Linked DNA regions of Xenopus tropicalis. The protein of the gene in region 1 purifies or fractionates together with the protein of each later gene. This does not show direct contact. Links are inferred from orthologs where the notes say so. Each region holds a gene or a part of one and is shown on either strand. Other genes may lie near its edges.

Region 1 (6,070 bases):
AGTAAAGGTGCCCATACATGCAGTTTTATTATCCTACAAAATGAGGATTCGTACAATATGCGTGTATGGTGGGTTGGCGAGGTGACCGTTATTGGCAAAACAATTGTCAAGATTTTTAATGGAACATGTACGGCCTCCTTTAAGCACTGACTTCCAAATCTCTAATTCCTCAGATAGAGGCAGCAGCATTTTTGGATCAATCATTGCCACAAGAGGATCCAATACAACATGCACTGTTTGGGGGTCTAATATTTTACTTGGTAGACAACACTCCTATTGGATGTATTAAAACCTTACCTGCCTATATGTGGCACAATGCCTGTTGGGAAAGTGGATGTTTGGTAGACTTGATCTGTTTAAAGGTTGATTTCATGCCCAGACTGCTGTAAAATATCCTAGAAAGTCAATTTTTATTTGGCCCATGGGGGGTTGAGGCTAGAGCCTATTTTGAATTTAAGTCCAGACAGAGTTGATCTGCATCTATTCAACCAACTGGCCCACAGGCTGATTTTACATCTATCCACATGGCCCGATATTATGCAATTTGGCTATCCACATAGATGAAACAATAGCAATTTTCCATTCATTACACCGGGACTGCGCTCCTCTTATGCTAAACTGCTGATGCCCCAACAAACACCAAGAAGGGACACTGGAAGATGTGATTTGTGACTGCGTTCGCAGGGCAGTCTCAATAAACTGCTTTCACTGATGCCATACATGCTCAGATGATTGGCCTGTGGTGTTTGAATTGACCAAACTGTCTGACCAAATCTGGGAATATATAGGATGCATAAAGTGTGCCAGGACTTGGGAAGGGATAATGAAATGACCTTGTACTTGACATATAGTTGCTATAGGTCTGAGAAAAAAGAGAGGTAACATGGCTGTGAAAGTAAGGGTAAAATTTACCTCAACATGAAATGGCATTTATACAATATCCATTCTCCTCACCTTAAAATCCTAGGGCCAGCAAAGCACTGTAGAGCACATAGCGCCCATCCACGTATTCTTTTTGTAGCAATACTTCCTGATTGCAGCACCTTCAGTGCAGTACATTTTAAACAACGAGCAAATAAATATTTCAGCATATTGACAAGCAATTCTGTGTCTGACCTTCTCCATGGCACCCCGAGTCTGATCTCCTACTGTGAGGTTATGAAGTGAGGGAAATCACAAATGTATCATGCAGATGGAGAGGCACTAGCTTGCTCACCAAATACACTATTTCTCAACTTGTCAGTTTAGATTAAAAATATATATATTAGCCAAGGATCACAAATCAAAAGCAATTTGAAAGCGAGAGCTGAAGATGAGTTGTGGTTACATTTTGCTTGGGGCATTAGTATGGGGTTAATAAACTGTCCAATGGAAGAAGCAGATAAGCAGAACAGGCTATAGGCAGGGGAACCTGCACTCCGCTTAATGAAGCAATATGTGATGCTTATACTGCTGCTGGGGTAACTGCAAGTGATGAATTGGTCTTTTGTATAGCTATTTGCTTCTGTGCACCCAGATGCATCACTATGGACGGTCATACATAAGTATGGGCAAATATTAATGTAACCAGGCCAAACTGGCAATCTGAGGTGCTGCTGTAAGATGCCACAGACTGTCACAATTAACGGGCGTGTGGGGGGGATTGGGCCTCTGTGTACTTGATTTGCCAGGGCCTATTTTGAATCCCAGTCCAGGCCTCAATGTAACACCCCAGCACTTGCCCCAGGACTGCAAGACAATTATTGGTTACAAATACTGTCTTCGGAGGGGTGTACATGGGGGCACTTGCACCAGGTACCATTGGTCAGCGATATAAATTCTGTTGTGCCTCACAAAATTGTCTTTTTTCCGGTTGGTCAGAGAATCCTGGGAGTTGCAATTCAATATCAGATGGGTATTATTTATTATAAATGCACATTATTATAGCCTTGATGCTTAGATATAGCCAATCTGAAAAAAAACGCTGCTCTTTTCCAAATGGAGCATAAACTAGAGGTGGCACTCTGATTATACATACATATTTATATAACCTGTAAATATAACATGGACCCATAATCCTCAGGCACCCAATAAATCTGACTAAACTGATGGCAGCCTGTATCCGGCCTACTGTGTCCCCATGATGGAACTGTCTATCACCGACACTCATGCTACTAGATTTGCATTTAAAAACCATGTCGCTGGACCTCTCATTCCTCCACAGCTATTAATGAACAAGTCTGGCCATAAATTATTTTCTTCCTGGGGTCAAAGGGTCTTAAAATATTAGCTGTAACCTCTGGCAAAAAGCGGTGATGTGGAACGCACAACCGCAACCTACCTGATTGCATGTCTGCTTGCATGTCATTCTCTAAAATTGCATAAATAAAATGCCAGCTGAAAAATAATGGCAATGGCAATTATAAAAAAAAAACCTTAATAAACATAATGTGCCCGTAGCTATTCACCCAGTTGACGTATTTATTATAGATTGAATTATACACCAACACTTTCCCCCGGAGGAGCTGTCTATTGCTAATCTAATAACTGAATTGCTTGCTTATATTCAAGCTGCTACATTGTCATATTATTGCTATGCTGTTTTTATGTTCCCATCTATAAGAACAAGGTCAGGCATAGGAATAAGCACACATATCCCACCTTTTGCTAACACGGCCATCGCCATTCTGCTGATAAGAGGTAAGCAGTCTGAGTACGTCTCCAGCACAGATCCCAAGAGTCATTAAGGGTGTGTCCACATCAAAGATCCCCATAATACACTATAGGATGCTTTCACTGAATAAATACACATTATACCTGCATTTTCTGCTTCTGCAACGTAATAGGACTATGGCCCTGGGGCTGTCTCCTTTCTACCAGAAGATTCTGTGAGAAGGGCCTCTATACTGTAAAATAGATTTAGCAAGGAGAAGCCAGCTGACTGCTGTCACTTATATATGAAAGGCAAATAAACACAGCAGCTATTTGTCCCAAACACTGGGCAATGCTGAAATTAGCTTTATCTATCATCTATCTATGTATCTATCTATCTATATATCTATCTATATTTCTATCTATCTTGGGCCCATAGGGTGATTCAGGCAACAAGGCATATTCAGTGGAATGATAATCAGTCTGTAGAAATATGCAGATGCACAATAGTTATTGTCATAATAAAGACTAATCAAATCCATAAGTACAGAAATGTCAGCAGTGACCCAGCCCAGTATGGAAGGGGTTATAGTAACCCCCAGTGCCCCCCCCCCCCCCCCCATCTCAATCTCAGCTCATTAATATTGTCCAGAAAAAATAAGGGAGGAAGCTCTGCAAATATATGGAGACTGCACCCCTAAGCACATGTATAATATCCATACACATATATATTCTATATTTCATGCTTCCTCATACTAAGGAGTTAGCGATCCCCAAAGTGCAATTAGGGGGCAAGGTAGAGCCATAGCCAGCCCACCCCACCCTGAAGCCATCACTCACCACTTTGCTCTCCAAGAAAAACCAGCTTGAATTTTCTCAGAGGGTTTCCAAAATCTCCCCCTGCAGACATGATGCTCGGGGAAGAGCCGAGACAGGACCAGGGGAAGAGCCGGAGACAGGACCAGGGGAAGGAGTCGGAGACAGGACCAGGGGCAGCAGGGGCAGATTCTGCAGCAGTCTGGGCTGGGCTTGTGGCTGCGGCTGGGGCACAGGGAGAGGTAACAGGGTGCGGCGGGGAAGGAATAGGTTAATGGCTCAGTGGCAGCAGCAGCAGTAAAAGAGGGAGAGCGGCGCTACTGTAGGGGAATACGGATGCTTCGGGCTGTGCTGCTCAGCATCTCTCCCCTCCCCGCCCAAACCCATCACGCCTGCGTACTCCCTGGCCGCGGCCCCCCTCCCCTAGCTGGGCTGATGTCAGTGCACCGGCTACTCTATACACTGACACCTGCACCCTCTATAGGGCTGCCATTAGGCCTGTCAGGTCATTCCACTAAACTGGCTGCATGGGCTAATTGGCAATCACATCAGATAGCCTATAATGCAAACATGAGCTTATGCCTACCCGCCCCGCAGCATGGATATTCTATAGGTATCTCCTATAGGTATGCACTGGGTCTGTGCAATGTGTAGCAGCAGGGGTAGGAATGATGGAGCAGGGCTCTTCAACCTGTTGGTGGGATTCCGAGGCTTGTGCTACAGTTACGGGGGCTGCAGAGACTTGTACTACAGCTGGGGGTGCTGCTGAGGCATGTACTGTAGCAGGGGGGGGCCTCATGAGGCTTGCACTACAGCTGGGGGGTTGCAGAGGCTTGTACTACAGCTGGGTGGTTGCAGAGGCTTGTACTACAGCTGGGGGGTTACAGAGGCTAGTACTACAGCTGGGGGGCTGCAGAGACTTGTACTACAGCTGGGGGTGCTGCTGAGGCATGTACTGTAGCAGGGGGGGCCTCATGAGGCTTGCACTACAGCTGGGGGGTTACAGAGGCTTGTACTACAGCTGGGGGGTTGCAGAGGCTTGTACTACAGCTGGGGGGTTGCAGAGGCTTGTACTACAGCTGGGGGGTTGCAGAGGCTTGTACTACAGCTGGGGGGTTGCAGAGGCTTGTACTACAGCTGGGGGTTGCAGAGGCTCGTACTACAGCTGGGGGGTTACAGAGGCTCGTACTACAGCTGGGGGGTTACAGAGGCTTGTACTACAGCTGGGGGGTTACAGAGGCTTGTACTACAGCTGGGGGGTTGCAGAGGCTTGTACTACAGCTGGGGGGTTGCAGAGGCTTGTACTACAGCTGGGGGGTTACAGAGGCTTGTACTACAGCTGGGGGGTTGCAGAGGCTTGTACTACAGCTGGGGGGTTGCAGAGGCTTGTACTACAGCTGGGGGGTTACAGAGGCTTGTACTACAGCTGGGGGGTTACAGAGGCTTGTACTACAGCTGGGGGGTTGCAGAGGCTTGTACTACAGCTGGGGGGTTACAGAGGCTTGTACTACAGCTGGGGGGTTACAGAGGCTTGTACTACAGCTGGGGGGTTACAGAGGCTTGTACTACAGCTGGGGGGTTGCAGAGGCTTGTACTACAGCTGGGGGGTTACAGAGGCTTGTACTACAGCTGGGGGTTGCAGAGGCTTGTACTACAGCTGGGGGGTTACAGAGGCTTGTACTACAGCTGGGGGGTTACAGAGGCTTGTACTACAGCTGGGGGGTTACAGAGGCTCGTACTACAGCTGGGGGGGCAAGAAACTAGTGCTGCTCAGATAAAGGGGCACATTTAATAAAGTGACAGCACATGTCAAAATAATTGGCAGAGAAGAAGCATTGGTGGGGGTTGGGAAGTCAATAACATTAATGGCATTTAGAAGGTGTCAGGAGTAAGCCAAATCCAGTTCCTTTGTGAGACCCCACACAGCATTTAATGATGATGCAAGTAGTGCAAAATCATTTTAGATCTCCCCATAAACTTGGGAGGTGGGGAGGGTTGAGACATTTTTGATGAGCATATTTTGAAACTGCCTATTATACTGCCCATATACCCCCTGGGTCCACAGTAGATTAATTTATAGTAATCAGTGGTGTTACTACCATACAGCAGACCCCAAGGGGATGGTTGCCCTGGACCTCGGGGGCTGCTATATAGTAGTCTCTGCTCCCCAGACCCTCTCTTACCTTTAATGTAAGCTAGCTGCAGCAGGCAGGTGTCAGGGGGCCAAGGGGAACATAGGGGTTCCCTCAGCAGGCACTGTGTGCTCTGCCCTTCAGTGAATTTTACCAGAATTATAACTGTTGAGGATGGTAAATCTGCATCTCACCTGCAGTTTCTAAATTGTGGCATCATACACAATTCCCAGCATCCTCAGTGGCTTGCCTGACTAACAAGTACATGAGAACATCATATGCATTCCGTGTTCCACTTGTAAAGCTGGCCATACATGATTAGATATACGAATTAGGTGAGTTCAGCTAACATTTGGTCTTTCCGATTTGGGCACCCAAGTGCTAGGCCATATCTGGTTGATGAAATGCTTGGCCCACGAGACCCTACGGAGACCCGTTGAGACCACATCAACACACTCTTCATATGATGGATTTTCAAACCTGCCCAACCT
Region 2 (6,070 bases), on another chromosome or scaffold:
CTGCTTATTTGAGGCAAAATAAGCCTATACAGTTTATTCAATATTTGAATGATTTTTAGCAGATTTAAGGTATGGAGATGCAAATTACCATGGGCGTCCGCAGAAAATTTTCCAAGGGGGGTCAAGTAAGCTAGCATCATCCTGCAACAGACAAATATATATATATATATATTTTATTTATTTATTTTTTTTTTGCAGGATGATACTAGCTTACGTGTGTCTGTATGTAAAAATATACAATTGTAATTAAATATATTTTAATTAATGAATACATTTACAACTGTTAGTGCCTTTTACAACTACTCTGCTCTACTCAGCTACCTACTATTCACATAATTCAGAACTCAGAAACACACATTAGATGGATCAAAATTATCATGCCACATAAAAAAAACCCCAATTGCCCCCATGTACCAGTGCCAACAGCCATCATATTGCCCCCATGTATTTGTGCCAGCACCCAACATATTGCCCCCATCTGTACTGTGCCAGCAGCCAAGCCCCCCTCATATTGCCCCCCATCTGTACTGTGCCAGCAGCCACGCCACCCCTCATATTGCGCCCCCAGGCCCCAGCATCTGTACTGTGCCAGCAGCCAAGCCCCCCTCATATTGCCCAACCATCTGTACTGTGCCAGCAGCCAAGCCCCCCTCATATTGCCCCCCATCTGAACTGTGCCAGCAGCCACGCCACCGCTCATATTGCGCCCCCAGGCCCCAGCATCTGTACTGTGCCAGCAGCCAAGCCCCCCTCATATTGCCCCCCCATCTGTACTGTGCCAGCAGCCAAGCCCCCCTCATATTGCCCCCCCATCTGTACTGTGCCAGCAGCCAAGCCCCCCTCATATTGCGTCCCCAGCAAGGTCCCAGCATCTGTACCTGTGTCAGCAGCCAAGCCCCCCATCTGTACTGTGTCAGCAGCCAAGCCCCCCTCATATTGCGCCCCCAGCAACTGTACCTGTGTCAGCAGCAGCAGTGCCTCGAAATCCCAGTCCCAGGTGCCAGTCAGCCAAGGCCAGCCCAGCAATCCTGCTCACTCAGCCAGCCCACAGCACAACCGACCGCCGCCGCACCCAAGCGCTTTCTGCGCCTTCTGGCGCCTTGTGTTTCAAAGACACACATGCGTAGGGGGGGGCGTGCCCAATCCGCATGCGTGTCATATGGGCGCACGGAGGTAAGCGCCGCTCCAGTATAGGGAAGGGTGGGAAGGTGGTGCCTGCGCTCAGTTCCTGGGACCTTTAGAGGGGGGTTTGGGCGGCGGTTTTATAATGGCCAAGGTGGGGATATAAATAATGTTACAACTAAAAAAAAAAAAAAATTCATCTCCCCTTTAATATGCGCCCCCAAGTTATTGCGCCCGTTTTTATTGCTACTTTTCCAGGGGGGGCAAGTGCCCCCTCTTGCCCCCTTCTGTGGACGCCCATGCAAATTACGGAAAGGTCCCTTATCCGGAAAACCCCAGGTCCCGAGCATTCTGGATGACAGGTTGCATACCTGTGTGTGTGTGTGTGTGTGTGTATATATATATATATATATATATACATCAAGAATTCCTGCAGCTTTGACATACTTTATTCATGCAAACTTCTCATCGGCAGGGTTTTCTATAATATCAAGGTAACCCTTTGCTTTCACTCTACCTGTTTTTTTTTTTAACTTCATACATTTTGCTTACTTTACTTTGACCAGTTTATTATTAAACCTCCCAAACACCGGTTATCATCATGTGCACTCGTTCTAGCATTCCCTTTCCCCCTATATGCCTTTGCCAGTCCGACCCTACAGCAGCGAATCAAGGCGGGGGTTGCGGAATATGCTAATTTCCCCGGAGGAAGTGAGTCTATGGTTTTGGAATTCACTGAAAGTGGAGTAGATATTTAGGTATCTTTGCTTGGTTGGCAAAAGATGTGATAGTCCCCAAACAAAATGCCTCACTTCACAGTTGTTCCAGTTGAAGAGCAAGCTAGATTGGGATGTGATTACTTGGAAGGCCTTAACGGAGTGGATTATAGGGACACAGGGCACAGTTCTCGGGATCCCTACGACAGCGTTAGTTCCGACGGTAAGTTCTACAGCAGGGTCGGAAAGTTTAGGGCCTCCGCGGTTGTAATTGTTTTCTCACAGATCCAATGATAAAAAGAGAACCTTAGAGAAGTACGTGATAGATTCGGTATTGTATTTATATCAGGGAACGAATATTGTTGGAGAGTTAACCTTGCTATAACATCGGTTATACAGCGGTATGTTTCGCTTTTATTACCCTATTTAAAAAAAATAGATTTTGGAAAAAATCGGTAATAAAATGCAGTCGCTAAAAACTCATGCACGACTTCGGCTTCTTCCAGTCGGAAGGCTAGTTTGGAACACCTAAATATTTATAATCAGTTGCCAGGAACGCTGCTGAGAAATGTGTGTGTCAATGCGAAAAAAGGCTATATCTTCTTGTCTTTTACCCGTAAGTTGTATGTGTAGATGGGAGCCAATGAATTCCTTGTACAGGCAGGGCTGGATTGAAGTTCTGTTCTGCAGTAGGAGCTGGCTCACTATTCACTGCCTCTTCCCTTATTGCCAGTCAGGGAAGAGAGGAGATGAACCCCGCCTCGGCTTCACTGCCAAAGTAAGCCACAAGTGTCTGGCAGCAGCTAGGGTTACTGTTTTTTCTGTACTGGCACCCAAGGGCCACACTCAGGGGTGTAATTATAGAGGGAGGCCCAGAAGGTATAGGGGTCCCTATGAGGCCTTTGTTAATGAGGAATTTTAATAAATATTGGTTAAACAGACCAACTTCTGGACATTTTGGGGGCCCCAAAATGACTTTGCTGTGGGGCCCAGTAAAATGTAGTTATGCCACTGGCCACACCCATAAAGGTGCTTTAGGGATTGTACTCACTGGCGTGTTGCCCTGTGTTTCCATGTTGTGTTCCAACTGCGTTCGGCATTTACATTAACCCGTGTTAGTACAGGCAGTGAAACACAGGTGTGCTCCACCACAGGAAAATGCAGGGCAAAATGGGTGCAAATATAGACAATATACCCTTCACTATAGGGTTCACTTAGATTGCTGTACCATGGACTGTTTGTGGTGTAAAGTAATTGCCACTACTGGATCTTTCCCCAGTTAGGATATTGTTTGGACCACGACAAAGATTGGATCAAAACAGCAAGGTAGTCCGACTAATTCTTTAAATCACACCAGTCCCTAAAAAAGTATGTTGACTCCTAACCTTATATTTTTGAAAAGTTACAAATTCTGACAAATCCATCTCACAAATAAGTAAAATTTTCTTTCAACTCCAAACCACCTAGCTACAAAGCATCCCTAAATTTAGCAGTTTTGATAAAAAAAATTCTGAAAATAACCTCAAAGCTTCCAATTTATAGCATCTTATCTCTCACATGTCATTAGGTAACAACATAAAACACCCTAAGGGCTCTGGCACACGGGGAGATTAGTCGCCCGCTAAGGGTCTACTGAGCAATTTGATGCTCAGTGTGCATAGGTTTACCAAAGTATGTTGTGTGTATGGACTCTATAATGAAAACAGTATGTTATGTGTCATAAGACCCCCCCCCTAACAGATGAAGACCCTCGAAAACCATATATTTTTGGAAAGCACACATTCTGACATCTAAAATTGTTAAATATCTTTCTATTTCAAACCCCCAAAGCGTTGTTAAATACAAGTAACAAATTATAATGCAAAACTAAAAATACAATAAAGTAAGTAAAAAAAAAAAAAAAAAAATTGCATAAACCAATAAAATAAAAGAATTACTCCAACAGTGTGAATAGTTATCAAAATGCCTAATCCACTACTCATGCTTCTAAGAAAAAACTGTTTGTACGGCAAGTTTAACATATGCAAATATGTAATACATATGCAAATATGTAATCCGGAAACCTGTTATCCAGAAAGTTCCGAATTATGGGAAGGTCATCTCCCATAGACTCCTTTATAAGCAAATAATTCAGATTTTTAAGAACGATTTGCTTTTTCTCTATAATAATAAATCAGTACCTTGTACTTGATCCTAAATAAGATAGAATTAATCCTTATTGGAGGCAAAACAATCCCATTGTGTTTTTTTAATGTTTAAATGATTTTTAGTAGACTAAAGGCATGGAGATCCAAATTACGGAAAGACCCCTTATCCAGATAACCCCAGGTCCCGAGCATTCTGGATAACGGGTCCCACACCTGTAGTAAAAAAAAAAAAAAGAAAACAGAGAAAACTGCATGCTTGTTTTTGGTACAAATTGCTCTCCTAATTTGCTGTCTCTATTTTTTTTTCTCTTTCTCTCTCATCATTTTTTTTTTTATTAGTCTCCAACTTTTAAAACTTTTTTTTTTTTGTACAAATTTCCCTTTTTGTCATCTCTCACAATGTTTTCATTTTCCATTTTGGCTTCCATGCCACTTTCCTGCAGTTTCCATCTGCACCACTCTGACCAGCCCTATACATTTGATCAATTTATTACCTGCCCAGCCTGCCCCAAACCTGCATGAAATAAAATACATTTTAAAGCATCTACTTTGGTTTATCACGCAGTTGATGTGTGTGCATTGTGAGAAAACAACAATCCAAATTAGCTGTTATATGGCTTTTAAAAAAAGAGACATTTGTACAAAAAAGTTGTAACAGTAACAGGATATAATCCAAATTGTGTCTAGGTATGTATAGACCCTTTAATCATGTAATTGTTTTTTTTGTATCAAACATAAAACACTATCAATGTGAGTAGGACCACTGAAGGAGAAATCATTACCTAAAAAAAAATCCAAAAAACTAAAATACAAAATATAGTCAGGATAGTCATAGATACAAAGGCTCAAGTGGGTGCTCAAAAACAAATGATTCTTACAGATATGTGAACTGGAGGTGCGCATCAGAAGCAGTATACAGTGCCACGGAGGGCAACACTTCCGTTAGCTATATTCACAGTTGATAAAGATACTATGAATGTGGCATGATCCCGTGTGCGTATGTGATGATAGTCACTGCACAATAGTAGCCACTAAGGTGACATGTTAATACTCATATTAAGTGCTGGGGTCATAAAAAAAACAAACAAACAATTAGTTGCGCGTAAGCCACCATTAGCATTTAATCTCATGTAAATTAATTCTGGAGACTTGATATTCTTTCATCTATCAGACCTGTAGTAGCCCTATTCTAGATGATACTAAAAGGCTTTCAAAACTTTTTATTGGGTTTTTTTTTTTAACATAATTGATAGTTGGAGCACAATTACAGAATTTTATTCTGCCCCTCCTCCAATAATGATTGCTTAAGAACAACCTTAGCTTAAGGTGTTTAGAGCGTTAGCTAAATCCAGATTAATTCACTTTACTGCAGCCACGAGAACAGCCAGGCAGGAACTTCATTCAAGAAAGTTGAACAGCTAACCAACACAGATAATGTTACATGTTTTCCCACAAAAAATTGTAGAGGTGTAGTATGCAGGATCCTAATATCACCGAGGTGCATTTGAAATGTGGTAGGTTTATTACACATCTGCTTTGCATTAATTCATGTAGGATACATCTAATATGTAAATTTTTTTTTTTTTTGGGAGGGGTTGATACTGTGTCGAGTGTTTGCTACAAATGTGTGTATATATATATATATATATAGCACACTACAAATGCCGGCATTCATGTTTAAGAAGAATATCAGAGCCTGGGTACAGTCCAGATGATGAAGACACTAATGTTTCGGCTAACACAATAGCTTTATAGTTTTTGACAAAGGATATTGTGTTAGTCGAAAAGTTAGTGTGCTGCACAATAAAAATTTTACAATTTTGCTGCATTATTAGCCCTGTTAGCTCATTGCGTGTTGTTTGCAGGAGCCAGTATTAATGAAGAATGTAATGTGCGTTTGTGCTTTCTGCTAATGTATGCCTTTGGCTTGTGGGATGAATCCCACAGAGATACTCCTCGCAGGTAGATAATGGGCATTTTGTGTTTGTTTTAGCATTTTTAAGGTCAGAAACTGTTTCTGTATTAAATTATTAAAAACTAATTATGGACTATTAACTCCAGATCTCCTATTTAATGAGGCAAGCT

The links. The genes of interacting proteins can lie anywhere in the genome.
Region 2: the proteins of rab6b (region 1) and slc12a4 purify together in Homo sapiens (co-immunoprecipitation; 3 studies listed by BioGRID and IntAct, with this or other methods). This does not show direct contact. The link is inferred for Xenopus tropicalis from reciprocal best matches to the Homo sapiens genes RAB6B and SLC12A4.

The regions. Positions count from the first base shown.
Region 1 is NC_030681.2:130,025,542-130,031,611, forward strand, and holds the start of rab6b (ras-related protein Rab-6B), read right to left. Parts: upstream 3,825-6,070; 5' UTR 3,542-3,824; coding exon 3,472-3,541; intron 1-3,471. UniProt on the Homo sapiens protein: The small GTPases Rab are key regulators of intracellular membrane trafficking, from the formation of transport vesicles to their fusion with membranes. Rabs cycle between active GTP-bound and inactive GDP-bound states.
Region 2 is NC_030680.2:43,045,238-43,051,307, forward strand, and holds the start of slc12a4 (solute carrier family 12 member 4), read left to right. Parts: upstream 1-1,794; 5' UTR 1,795-1,925; coding exon 1,926-2,061; intron 2,062-6,070. UniProt on the Homo sapiens protein: Mediates electroneutral potassium-chloride cotransport when activated by cell swelling. May contribute to cell volume homeostasis in single cells. May be involved in the regulation of basolateral Cl(-) exit in NaCl absorbing epithelia.